Canis lupus familiaris: one gene and its partners. The protein of the gene in region 2 binds, or shares a complex with, the protein of the main gene of each other region. Links are inferred from orthologs where the notes say so. Each region holds a gene or a part of one and is shown on either strand. Other genes may lie near its edges.

What was found.
Region 1: the proteins of VPS51 (region 2) and STX6 are in contact, whole or in part, in a crystal structure (PDB 4J2C), measured with the Homo sapiens proteins. The link is inferred for Canis lupus familiaris from reciprocal best matches to the Homo sapiens genes VPS51 and STX6. Residues at the interface, in NP_037397.2 of Homo sapiens: Ala33, His34, Met36, Leu37, Leu39, Tyr40, Tyr41, Gly42, Leu43; in NP_005810.1 of Homo sapiens: Met3, Glu4, Asp5, Pro6, Phe7, Val9, Val10, Glu13, Trp59, Asp60, Asp63, Leu64, Glu66, Thr67, Ile70, Val71, Phe78, Arg88.
Region 3: VPS51 (region 2) and VPS52 share a complex: the UniProt entries of both Homo sapiens proteins name them as parts of the endosome-associated retrograde protein (EARP) complex. The link is inferred for Canis lupus familiaris from reciprocal best matches to the Homo sapiens genes VPS51 and VPS52.

Annotation. Positions count from the first base shown.
Region 1 is NC_049228.1:14,328,756-14,332,403, forward strand, and holds part of STX6 (syntaxin-6), read right to left. Parts: intron 1,238-3,648; coding exon 1,101-1,237; 3' UTR 1-1,100. UniProt on the Homo sapiens protein: SNARE promoting movement of transport vesicles to target membranes. Targets endosomes to the trans-Golgi network, and may therefore function in retrograde trafficking.
Region 2 is NC_049239.1:52,609,303-52,613,050, reverse strand, and holds the start of VPS51 (vacuolar protein sorting-associated protein 51 homolog), read left to right. Parts: upstream 1-1,206; 5' UTR 1,207-1,294; coding exon 1,295-1,519; intron 1,520-2,016; coding exon 2,017-2,146; intron 2,147-3,748. UniProt on the Homo sapiens protein: Acts as a component of the GARP complex that is involved in retrograde transport from early and late endosomes to the trans-Golgi network (TGN).
Region 3 is NC_049233.1:2,865,081-2,868,801, reverse strand, and holds the start of VPS52 (vacuolar protein sorting-associated protein 52 homolog), read left to right. Parts: upstream 1-902; 5' UTR 903-1,174; coding exon 1,175-1,264; intron 1,265-2,099; coding exon 2,100-2,184; intron 2,185-2,318; coding exon 2,319-2,371; intron 2,372-2,554; coding exon 2,555-2,630; intron 2,631-2,820; coding exon 2,821-2,888; intron 2,889-3,187; coding exon 3,188-3,363; intron 3,364-3,721. Other genes in the region: RPS18 (40S ribosomal protein S18), read right to left, coding at 190-288, 729-731. UniProt on the Homo sapiens protein: Acts as a component of the GARP complex that is involved in retrograde transport from early and late endosomes to the trans-Golgi network (TGN).

The DNA of each region.
Region 1 (3,648 bases), on a different chromosome or scaffold from region 2:
ACCAAGCACACAAATTATTTAAATGTCATGGATAGCAAAATCTTAGAACTGGCCAATAGATTGCCACCAACTGATAATAAGGAAAGCAAGTACCTTCTTAGTCATGATCACTTTATTCTACTTCAGACATGCTAGAAACTCAGTTAAGTGTGATAAGGGCAAAGATCCCAAGTCTGTTGGTTTCGTACCTGAACAAGGACTCGTCCAATGGGCATGGGAGGCAGAATCAACCTACTCAGATTATATATATATATATATATATTAGATTTTATTCATTTATTTGACAGAGAGAGAGCACAAGCAAAGGGAGTGGGAGAGGGAGAAGATGCGGGGCTCGATCCCAGGACCCTGAGATCATGACCTGAGCTGAACGCAGATGCTTAAGCGACTGAGCCACCCAAGCACCCCAGATAATATTTTTAATCTGTTTAACTGTCACTTCACTGGCCAAGAAAACTTGAGTATCGAGCATTTTTTCATATATTTAAAAATGTTTACGATAAATTAAAAACACTCTCATTAAAATGATTAGTCAAGGGGCACCTGGGTGGCTTAGTTGGTTAAGTGTCTGCCTTCAGCTCAGGTCATGATCTCAGGGTCCTGGGATCAAGCCCCTATCAGGCTCCCTGCTAAGCAGGGAGCCTGCTTCTCCCTCTCCCTGCCCCTCCCCTGCTTGGTGAGTGCGCACGTTCTGTCAAATAAAGAAATAATAAAATCTTTAAAGGAAATAAAATGATTAGTCGATATTCCTCCAAGACAAAACAGTCAAGGTAATTGCTTCCTGAGCACCCCCCAACCTCATATAGATCCCTGCCCCTCCCCCTGTCCTGCATTCTTAAACCCAATATTGAACCAATTGTCCACTTTTTGGCTTTCCATCAGCCTCTACCCAATCCCCTCCCACCTCCAGTCACTTCTTCCACAACTCCATTAAATGGGGGTTTTTCATCAAGAAGTTGGGTCACACAGGCCAGCACAACCCAGGAACACTCTTTTAAAGCCACTTTCCTCCGAAGTGCTAAGCTGCTGTGATAGAGCATGAACCACGTAACCTCTGGGAGCTGGTACCCCAGCTGACTTCTCCCCAGAAGGTGTCAGTACTACCCAAAGGCTTCTGTGCTCTCAAGGGAAAAGCCTAACCAGTTTTGCATGTTCAAGACCTGCCTCAAAAAGTCAGACAGGAACAAAGAGAATTCTAATGGCAGGTTTCTTTCCCCTTCCAGTATATTTTTCTGCCCTAGAGAGAAAAGATAACAGAATTTTGGAAAGTGAGGGAAGAAAACCCCTGTATCCACTCAAAAGAATAAACTTTACTTGGGTCACTCACAAAGGCAGGTGTGGCATCTTGGCTGACCTCTGCTGTGGAGCAGCCAGCCACGGGGAGGGCAAGTGTTCTGGCTCTAAATCAAAGAAAATCCAGTACCTCCTTTTTTCTTTAGTTGGTGGGGGTGGTTGGTGAAGGGAGGAAGGAACCAGATCCTGGCTCTTCAAGATCATTCAGCATGTGTGCTCACTTAACGCCTAATCCAACTGCCGTGTGTACTTAATATACTTTAGGCACAGATTAAAAGGTGGTGAACTTGCCCAAAAGTGATGGAGGAGAACAGAGACAAATACCAATTGCCTTGTTGCCAAATTGAAGCCAGCACCACGGAGCGGGAACCCTCACACAATCTTTCTTTTGCGAGTGAGCAAAGATTAAAATGAAAACCACAAGCAAGCTGTCCAAACTGAAGGGTCTTCCAGGCTGAATGCTTGGTTTCCTGGCTCTTCTTCTTAAACAAATGTAACTGAAGTCCCTACTCTGCTCCCTAAACTTTTCTTTTAGGCTAAAGGAGAATAAAGCATAAGCAAGGCTCAGTGCTATTTATACACACTGAACGGCTTATCACAATGCAAGTACTTTTCTAAATTATTCATACCCGGAATGCTGAGAAACAAAGACACAGTGCATCTTTGTTCTTTGCTCTTCCCCAAACAAAACTGGTGCTGAAGTAGCTACTTGACTTTGTGAGTAATACATACACTGGTGAGAGGCCTCGTGTTTAAACTGGTTATATAATACTTCATTAATCTTTCTTTTTCAAAGTAGAGGGCTGAAGGTGGAAGAGTAGAGAGAGGAAGAAGGAAGAAGGTTTTGTAAACCTTTCTCTGAAGCGTGTGAAAGATGAACTAAGCTGGTGCCTGCTTTTAGGCAATGACTTGCTACAGCATCAAGTTATCTGTCCCTGGAGAGAAAGAAGGAACTAAAAGTCTGGCTCCGAGCCTCCCTCTATTTTGGATATAACAGGTCCTTTGCCCTGGAGGGCCATATTCTGCTTTGTATTTTTTTAAAAAACCAAACATTTACTAAGTAGTAATATATGGGAGACACTGTTAAACATCTGTACACTAATTACTATTATTTCATTTAATCTTCGCAATGATCTTGAGAGGCAGGCATCAGCCTACTTTTTTTTCCCTTACAGATAAGAAGCTGAGCCCCAGACAACTGTTCTAGAACTTGACTATGAATTGACTTGTTGGAAAGCAAATATACATTTGTATTGAAGTCTCAGCTCAAAAGGTTGAACTATTAGACCCTGCAACACAGACTTGATGAGAGGAAACCCAAAGAACGAGGCGTCAAGAAACGGGAGGTTCCAGTGGGGTGCTGGGTGCTCTGGTTCAAGAACACCTACATCACCTCAAGTTTAGTTCCTTTCTCCCTTCACCAAGCACCCCCACCAACTAAAGAAAAAAGGAGATACTGGATTTTCTTTGATTTAAAATATATTATTTCTAATGTACTAGGGGAAGTGGGTTGTTGCAATAAAAACAAAACAAAACAAAACAAAAACGAGTCATTGGAACATATCTTCCTATATAGTGACTGATTTGAAAACTGTTACTTCTTCATCCCCATCTCAGGGCAAATCCGCTGGAGTATTCCACTACGGATTTAAAGGAAAACCATTTAAATTAGATCTGCAAGGCCATCTTATTTTGAAATGGTAGGAGTGGGGCAGCCCCGGTGGCTCAGCAGTTTAGTGCCGCCTTCAGCCCAGGGCCTGATCCTGGAGACCCGGGATCGAGTCCCACATCGGGCTCCCTGCGTGGAGCCTGCTTCTCCCTCTGCCTGTGTCTCTGCCTCTCTCTCTCTCTCGTGGAGCCTGCTTCTCCCTCTGCCTGTGTCTCTGCCTCTCTCTCTCTCTCTCTCTCTGTGCCTCTCATGAATAAATAAATAAATAAATCTTTAAAAAAAAGAAAAAAGAAAAAGAAAAAGAAAGAAATGGTGGGAGTTTCTCAATAAAAGAAAGCCAGTCCGGGAGAAACAGTAACTGGCTTCTTAATTACTGTTTTATAAAAAGTTCCCTGTTCTTGCAAGGAAATAGAAAAAATAAGAGGATTTTGTAATTGCAAAGAGAGTTGATCCGCCAGGAGAAAAGCTACTCACCACCACCAGCCTCATGGGATGGGAGAACACAAAGCCCACATCTCAGGTGAAGGCCACAGTGGCAGATGAGGCCCATGCACACTAGTGTCCTTCTCTGACCAGAAAGCAGGACCAGAAATGTGTCATGGGAAAGATCTGAGGGGTCACACCTATGAGAATCCTACAGACCGTGTTTCTAGAATTAAGTGGGAATTCTTAAGGTTTAAATGCCA
Region 2 (3,748 bases):
CTGTTGTAGTGCAAAAGCAGGCACAGATAATATGTAAACAAATGTGCATGGCTGTGTTCAAATAAAACTATAGACACTGGAATATTTCATATAATTTTCATTTGATTTTATGAAAATCATCTTTTAAATTGAGATAGACATATTCCAATATTTTTAAGGGTACAAGGTAATGATTTGGTATTTGTATATATTTCAAAATGATCACAAGGAAGTCTAACATCTGTCACTATACAAATTATTAATGTTACAAATTATTTTTTCTCCTGATGAGCACTTTTAAGATCTACTCTGATTATATGAATTTTACATAATTTTCACATCATGAAATGCCATTCTTATTTTTTAACCATTTAAAAATGAAAACAAACAACAACAACAAAAAAACCAAACACACCAGTCTTAGCTCACAGGCCAAATGAAAACACGTGGTGGGATGTGTTTGGCCTGCCGCACCCCAGCCAAAGAATCTTTAAACACGGTGGTTTCCATTCCAACACCCCCCACCCCGCCCCGCCCAGCCGCCAGCCCATCACAAGTAATGTTTCAAGGACCATGTCGATAAAGTCGTTTTCTCTATTAAAACTCATCGTATCTATACTTGAACCTCATTACCTGTCCTCTTAAGCACTGCGCCTTGGTGAACAATTAATTGCATTTTGTTGAAATCGGAAACCTGAGAACAACCCTCATCATCTGCACCCAGCCCCTCACCCCCCCCCCCCCCAGCACATCCCACGGGTCGCTGAAGATCTGCCAAGTCGGTCTTCTAAGCAAGTATCTTAAAGTGCTTGGGGACTTTTTTTTTTTTTTTTTCCCTTAAAGAGGCTAGGACTGGGGGAGCCCAGGGTCTGAAGGCAGTTCTGACCCGTGTCAGAGGACGGGCGGGGAAACTGCTAGAGGCCCCGCCCGCACTGTGCGCGCATCTAACCTCGTAGCTCCCCCGCAGCCTCTTGTGAAGTCTGCACCCGTATAGTAGGAATGGGGGACATATTCCGGGGGCCCCTGCCTGCGGGGGTGCGGGGTTGGGAGCCAGGACCCGCCTTCCTTCTGGGAGGGAAGCACCAGACGAGTTCTTCTCAATCTGCTCGGGAGGCTGCGGGAACCCAGGGCTCTCCCGGAACCTCTTCCGCTCAGGGAGGAAAGGTAGGGGGAACGCTAGTCTCGAAGGACCCAGGGTTGCAGGGGGACCTTTTAGCTGAAGGACTGCCTCGTTTCAACAAGAACTTTATGGCTCCCGGAAGTGCCTCCTCCCAGTTCTTTCCCAGCCTCACACCCGTGGGCTGCAGTTGGAGTGATGGCGGCTGCAGCCGCTGGACCTGGCCCGGGGTCTGGAACTGGGGACTCTCCGGAGGGGCCCGAGGCGGAGGCCCCGGAGCGTCGGCGGAAGGCGCACGGGATGCTGAAGATTTACTACGGTCTCTCGGAGGGGGAGAGCGCGGGGCGCCCCGCAGGGTCGGACCCCCTGGACCCGACGGATCTCAACGGGGCACACTTCGACCCGGAAGTGTACCTGGACAAGGTGTGTGTTTGTGTGTTGGGGAGAACCAGGCCCCGGACACATCGCACCCCCCAGATCATGCCTTCGACTTTGCTGCGGGGGTGAGGGACGCAGGGGCTCGTAAAAACCAGATGACCCTAGGGCAGGAAGCAGGGGCCGAGCTGGAGTCTAAGGGGGCGTGGGCAGATTTGGACGGGCCGGAGCAGGTGCGGGGTGCTGATGTCCTGGGCTGATGTTCTGATAGGCCGGGGCGTGGGGCGTGGGGCGTGGGGCGTGGCCCAGGCGTTGACAGGCTTAGGGGTGGGCGGTGGCTGAATCTGAGCGTTTCAAAGGCTGACAAACCCCAAATAGAGTCGAATCTAGTAACTCCTGACCTATGGCACTGATAGGCTCTTTGTCTAGTATCTCTGCCAGGAGTGGGATGAGAGCTTTCTTGCACCCAAAGCCTACCAGGTAGGGGCAGGCCTGAGGGACATGAATGCCCCTGCCCTGAGCACTACCACTTGGATTTCCTCCAGCTGCGTCGGGAATGCCCCCTGGCCCAGCTGATGGACAGTGAGACAGACATGGTGCGACAGATCCGGGCTCTGGACAGCGACATGCAGACCCTGGTCTATGAGAACTACAACAAGTTCATCTCAGCCACAGGTGATTCCCGCTGGGACACACCCATCACAGTCCCGCCTGCCTGTTGGTCTTGTGTTGGGGAGTCGGGGGAGGAGACCCAGATTCTATTTTTTTTTTTTTAAATTTTTATTTATTTATGATAGTCACAGAGAGAGAAAGAGAGAGAGGCAGAGAGACATAGGCAGAGGGAGAAGCAGGCTCCATGCACCGGGAGCCCGATGTGGGATTCGATCCGGGGTCTCCAGGATCGCGCCCTGGGCCAAAGGCAGGCGCCAAACCGCTGCGCCACCCAGGGATCCCGAGACCCAGATTCTAGTCCCTCCCTGACATTTATCCACTCCCACCTCTCAGAGCTTTTGTGGTCAAATGATGGTAGCTGCTCTCAGAGGGTTATTCTGAGGGTCAAAGGGGAGAAAAAAACAAAATGAAAACAATTTAAAGGTTTTATTTGTTTATGCATGAGAGACACACAGAGGCAGAGACATAGGCAGAGGGAAAAGCAGGTTCCCTGGGGGAGCCCTATGTGGAACTCGATCCCAGGACCCCAGGATCACAACCTGAGCTGAAGGCAGACACTCAATCACTGAGCCACCCAGGCATCCCAACAAAATGAAACCTTAAACTGAAATGGGTTTATCTGAACCACTTAGAATCCCTGACACTATCGATGTCTCAGTAAGGGTTAGTTTCTCTGATTAGTGGTAGCTTTCTTCTCTTGCCCAGGTCTATCTTGAGGGTGGGCTTGTCTCTGTCTCTTTCTCTCTCTCGCTCCTTTCCTTCCTCTATCCCTTTCCCCCTTTTAAATTAAGCAAAGAGGGGGATCCTTGGGTGGCTCAGTGGTTTAGCGCCTGCCTTTGGCCTAAGGCGTCATCTGGGAGTCCTGGGATCGAGTCCCGCGTCAGACTCCTGGCATGGAGCCTGCTTCTCCCTCTGCCTGTGTCTCTGTCTCTCTCTCTCTGTCTCTATGTCTATCATGAATAAATAAATAAAATCTTAAAAAAAAATTAAGCAAAGAGACACAATATATGACATTAAGGGACACAGAGATCATGAAAAGGGTTTTTTTTTTTCCTTCTCCTCCTGCCTCCTTTATTCTCTGTCCAGGACAGTGCTAGACAGGGTTCAGCTATCATTCACACTAACTACTGTCTTATGTTGGTGAAATGCACTACTCAGACTTTTTTGTGATAATTTTGGACTCGTGTGTACATAGTTCTAGAGGCAGATCTCGAATGTCTACTGGTGGTCCATGAGAATGTTGGGTGAACCTTTGTGAGGCTCATTCTGACATCTCTTACTCTACTAGTGTCACAAGGTTGGGTGTAGCCATTGTCCTTTTATCTGATTTGAAACAGGTTCAGTGAGTAGGCACCTCTTTATTTGCTAATACCAGCATCAACCAGCAAGAAATCATAATTCCTAGGGGCGTCTGGGTGGCTCATTCAGTTAAGAGTCCATCTCTTGATTTCCGTTCAGGTCATGATCTCAGGGTCATGAGATGGAGATTGAGCCGGGTGTTGGGGCTCCATGCTCAGGGGGAGTTTGCTTTTCTCTGCCTCTCTCTCCCTTTGCCCATACCCTCATACTCTTTCTCTAAAATAATTTAATAAGTCTTTTAAAAAA
Region 3 (3,721 bases), on a different chromosome or scaffold from region 2:
CTTCTCTGGCTTTCATTACTTACCTTTTGGTGGAAATGATGTAAGAGACCAGAGGACTAGTCACTCTTTTAACCGTTCTTTAGTTTACCCAGCAGCTAAGGTGATCTGGTTGGGACATGTCTCCTGGACCCTTCCTCACTTACAGCTATCCTGTCTCATTTACAGGCTCCGTTCCTTACCCTACCTTACCTTAATTGCTGTGATGGCAAAGGCTATTTTCCGCCGCCCATCGATATTGGTGTTAAGTACTCGCAAAATGTGCTGGAACTTCTCAGGGATCACTAGAGACTGGCAGAGACAGGGGGAGAAACAGGACACCGTCAACCACCATCAAACAGTAACGTCAAGAGGAACGTCCGGGTTGTCACACCGGGAGCAACAACCCTCCCCCCTTCAGTCCCGCTCGCAAAACCTTAAGTGTTCAAGCTCGGGAAAACGCAACCTCTGGGAGGGGGCAAGTCTTCTGCCCGTTCCCAAAAGTACACTGAGAGGCGGAGACCTCAGGTCCCCATTCACGCCCAAGCCTTTTCGCCGGTTTCGAGTGACTCTTCCTCTGGCCTACTCCACAGAACTGGAAGTCCTCAGTCATTCCTTCCCAGGGGTGCGCTCCAAAGATTCACACAGAAAGTTGCTAACCCCTAAAACAGGGCGTTTTCTGATCCCTAACAGCAGACTTTCCGTGTCCCGGTTCCGATGTCGCCGGATCCCCGCACGAAATCCACTCTTACCATGGCAGCAGCCTCTGCAGCGGCGTGCGGGCCTCCCGTGGAAGAGAGAACGGAAGTGACATACTAGGCTTATATAGCTATCAGCGGAAGAGGCGGAGCGATCACGCAGGAGCGCTTCCGGAAGCCGCTGGTGCCAGAACTAATTCAACTATGAGAATCTCTCTTCTTTACCAGAACTTCCGGTGCGGCCTCTCTTTACATGTTCGTAAAGTCCTTAAGAGGGAGAGCAGCAAAGGTTCCGGGGTGCGATTGTGCTTCAGATATCCAGTTCCCATTTGCAGTTGGGTCAAGTGGTTAGGGCTGAAAGGGGAAGGCTGGAGTCCAACAACTTAATTCAAATATCTGGGAACGATTTCGCTCTCTGCAAGACCCTCTAGGATTTGTAGGTCCACCCCAGGGACGGACCTACGGCGACTGGACAGCTGCCGGAAGTGAGGCTACGCAGAATGGCAGCTGCTGCGACCATGGCGGCGGCTGCGCGAGAGCTGCTGCTGAGAGCCGGGACCTCGGATATGGAGGAGGAGGAGGGCCCGCTGGTGCGGACGTGGGGCTCTTTCTCTCCGGAGTCTTGTCCGGGGGTCCTCGCGTCAGAAGGGCCTGGGCTGGGTTTAGGCAGAAGAGTGGGCGAGCGGCTGTTAACGGTGATGCTCCCTGTGTGTTTTTCCGTATCCGTCCTTGGAGTCGGGTCTGAGTCTGCCCTGGAGTCAGAATGGCCGACTCAGGTGCCAGTGGCAGAATTTCAGTTAACTTCCAGATCTGAGGGCAGAATACAGCGGCAGTATAGTGTAAAGGTTAAGAACGTGACTATGGTCAGATCGCCTGGGTTCTAATTCCAGCTTTGCCTCTTGCACGCTGTGTGTCGTTGGGCGGGTTAATCAGTTTCTCTGTGTTATACTTTCCCCACGTATAAGGTGAAGGAAATGATAAGACTTCACCGTAGAAATTGTTGGTTATGATTAGATGAATGAATGTATGAAAAATGGCACCTGGCCCGCAGGTAAACACTGTTAGCTGACATTTCTAGAAGGGCAGGTGATCCCCACAGGGATTGTGATAGAACACCTAAGATAGCAGGAGTCTGGGGATCCTACACTCAGCTGTAAGTTTAGCCCTGTCCTCTGCAACTCCTCCTTTACTCTTGTGGTGACTTTTGAGTCTTTTTGTTATATTCCCTACCTAGGAGCCCCAAATAGCAGATTGGGGACAGTGTGAGACTTTTGGAATTTTTTGACCCAGTGCCCATGGCTTCCCAATAAAAACCCAGCCCAGCCCCACCTTCCCCAAACCTTGAAGGTCTGTGGATTATCCCGTTATATTTGTTCTCTCTCTCTCTCTTACTGTGCCCTTTCCTGTTGACTTGTCCCTCTCCAGGGGGGTGGCCCTGGTCTTCAGGAGCCATTGCCACTTGGAGAATTGGACATCTCCTCTGATGAATTTATTCTGGATGAAGTGGATGGTAAGTGATGGCATGAGGTGGATGCAAACTGCTTGTGATCCAAGAGGTATGGTGCTGGAAGTAATAAGGTGGGGAATGGTGTACAGATGTTCGTTTGCGGGAGCTGGACCCTTATGATAAATTTCTATTTCCAGTTCACATTCAGGCAAATCTGGAGGATGAGTTAGTAAAGGAAGCTCTTAAAACGGTGAGGCTTTCTGCTGTACTGATTTATCCCTCCTCTTACCCTCCCCTCAAAGAGGAAAAAAAAGGACAGTCTCTCACTCTTACAACATCACCCTGGTGTCTCACCTTCTAGTCCTTTATTGATTCTTTCTAGGGTCTCTTCACTGCCACTTCCTCTTAACCTGTTGTGTTAATGTTCCCCTAGGGTGTGGATCTCCGTCACTATTCAAAGCAGGTTGAGCTGGAACTACAGCAGATTGAGCAGAAATCCATTCGAGATTGTATCCTCCAGTAGAGAAAAAGGGTGATGTTATTAAAATAGAGATTTTGCGGAGCATGGTGCATGCAGCCCAGCAGGGGCTGACATCTTCTCATGGCAGTTTCTGTCATCTCTGGGAAAAATGGGAATAGTCCCACAGGTCTGAGAATCTCCAGCTTTATGGTGAGGCCCCTTGACTTTTTGTGGATTAGATATCCAGGAGAGTGAGAACATAGCGTCTCTCCACAACCAGATCACAGCCTGCGATGCTGTTCTTGAGGTTAGTAACCATGACCTGTGATCCCTCTTAACCCTGAACCAGATCATGGTCTGGTGTTGTTCTTTAAGTCATCATCCTCAGGTGGGGATAGTTAGATTCACGTTCAGGATGACCTTAGCAGACCTTTTTGTTGCTACTGCCATAACTAATGTTATTTGCCAGTGACCTTTTGGGTACTTCTTACCTCATCACCTACCTTCGAGGACTGATACTGAAGACTTTACCAATAAACTTAGGTGGCCCATTTGTCCCTTGCCAACCCTTTGGTGCTCCAACAACATCTTCTGTCCTCCCCCCAGCGCATGGAGCAGATGTTGGGAGCTTTTCAGAGTGACCTCAGCTCTATTAGCTCTGAGATCCGGACACTGCAGGAACAGTCAGGAGCCATGAATATTCGGCTTCGAAACCGCCAGGCAGTTCGGGGAAAACTTGGGGAACTTGTCGATGGTCTGATAGTGCCCTCTGCTCTGATCATGTAAGTTGCCATTTTGAAGAGTTACAATGTCTATAGCAGGTAGATGGTCTAGGATGACCTACCACATGGGTCTCCTGGCCTCAGCTCTTCAAGCACCTTCCAGAAACTGATGGGTGGTTGACAACTCAACCTTGATGCATGCTTTAGGCATCAAAGATTAGGAATATCCAGAGTCAGGCATTTAGTTGGGAGGTTTAGTTGGGAGGTTTAAGGCTTTATGGACGTGGGATTGGGGGAGGTTCCAGGAACAGGAGACTTTGTACACGTATCCTGACTATGTGACTTAGCGTGTGAAGGGAGAGGTGACAGGCTGGATGTAAGGAATATAGTTTGGGACCTACTGATGTCTGGGTCTCCC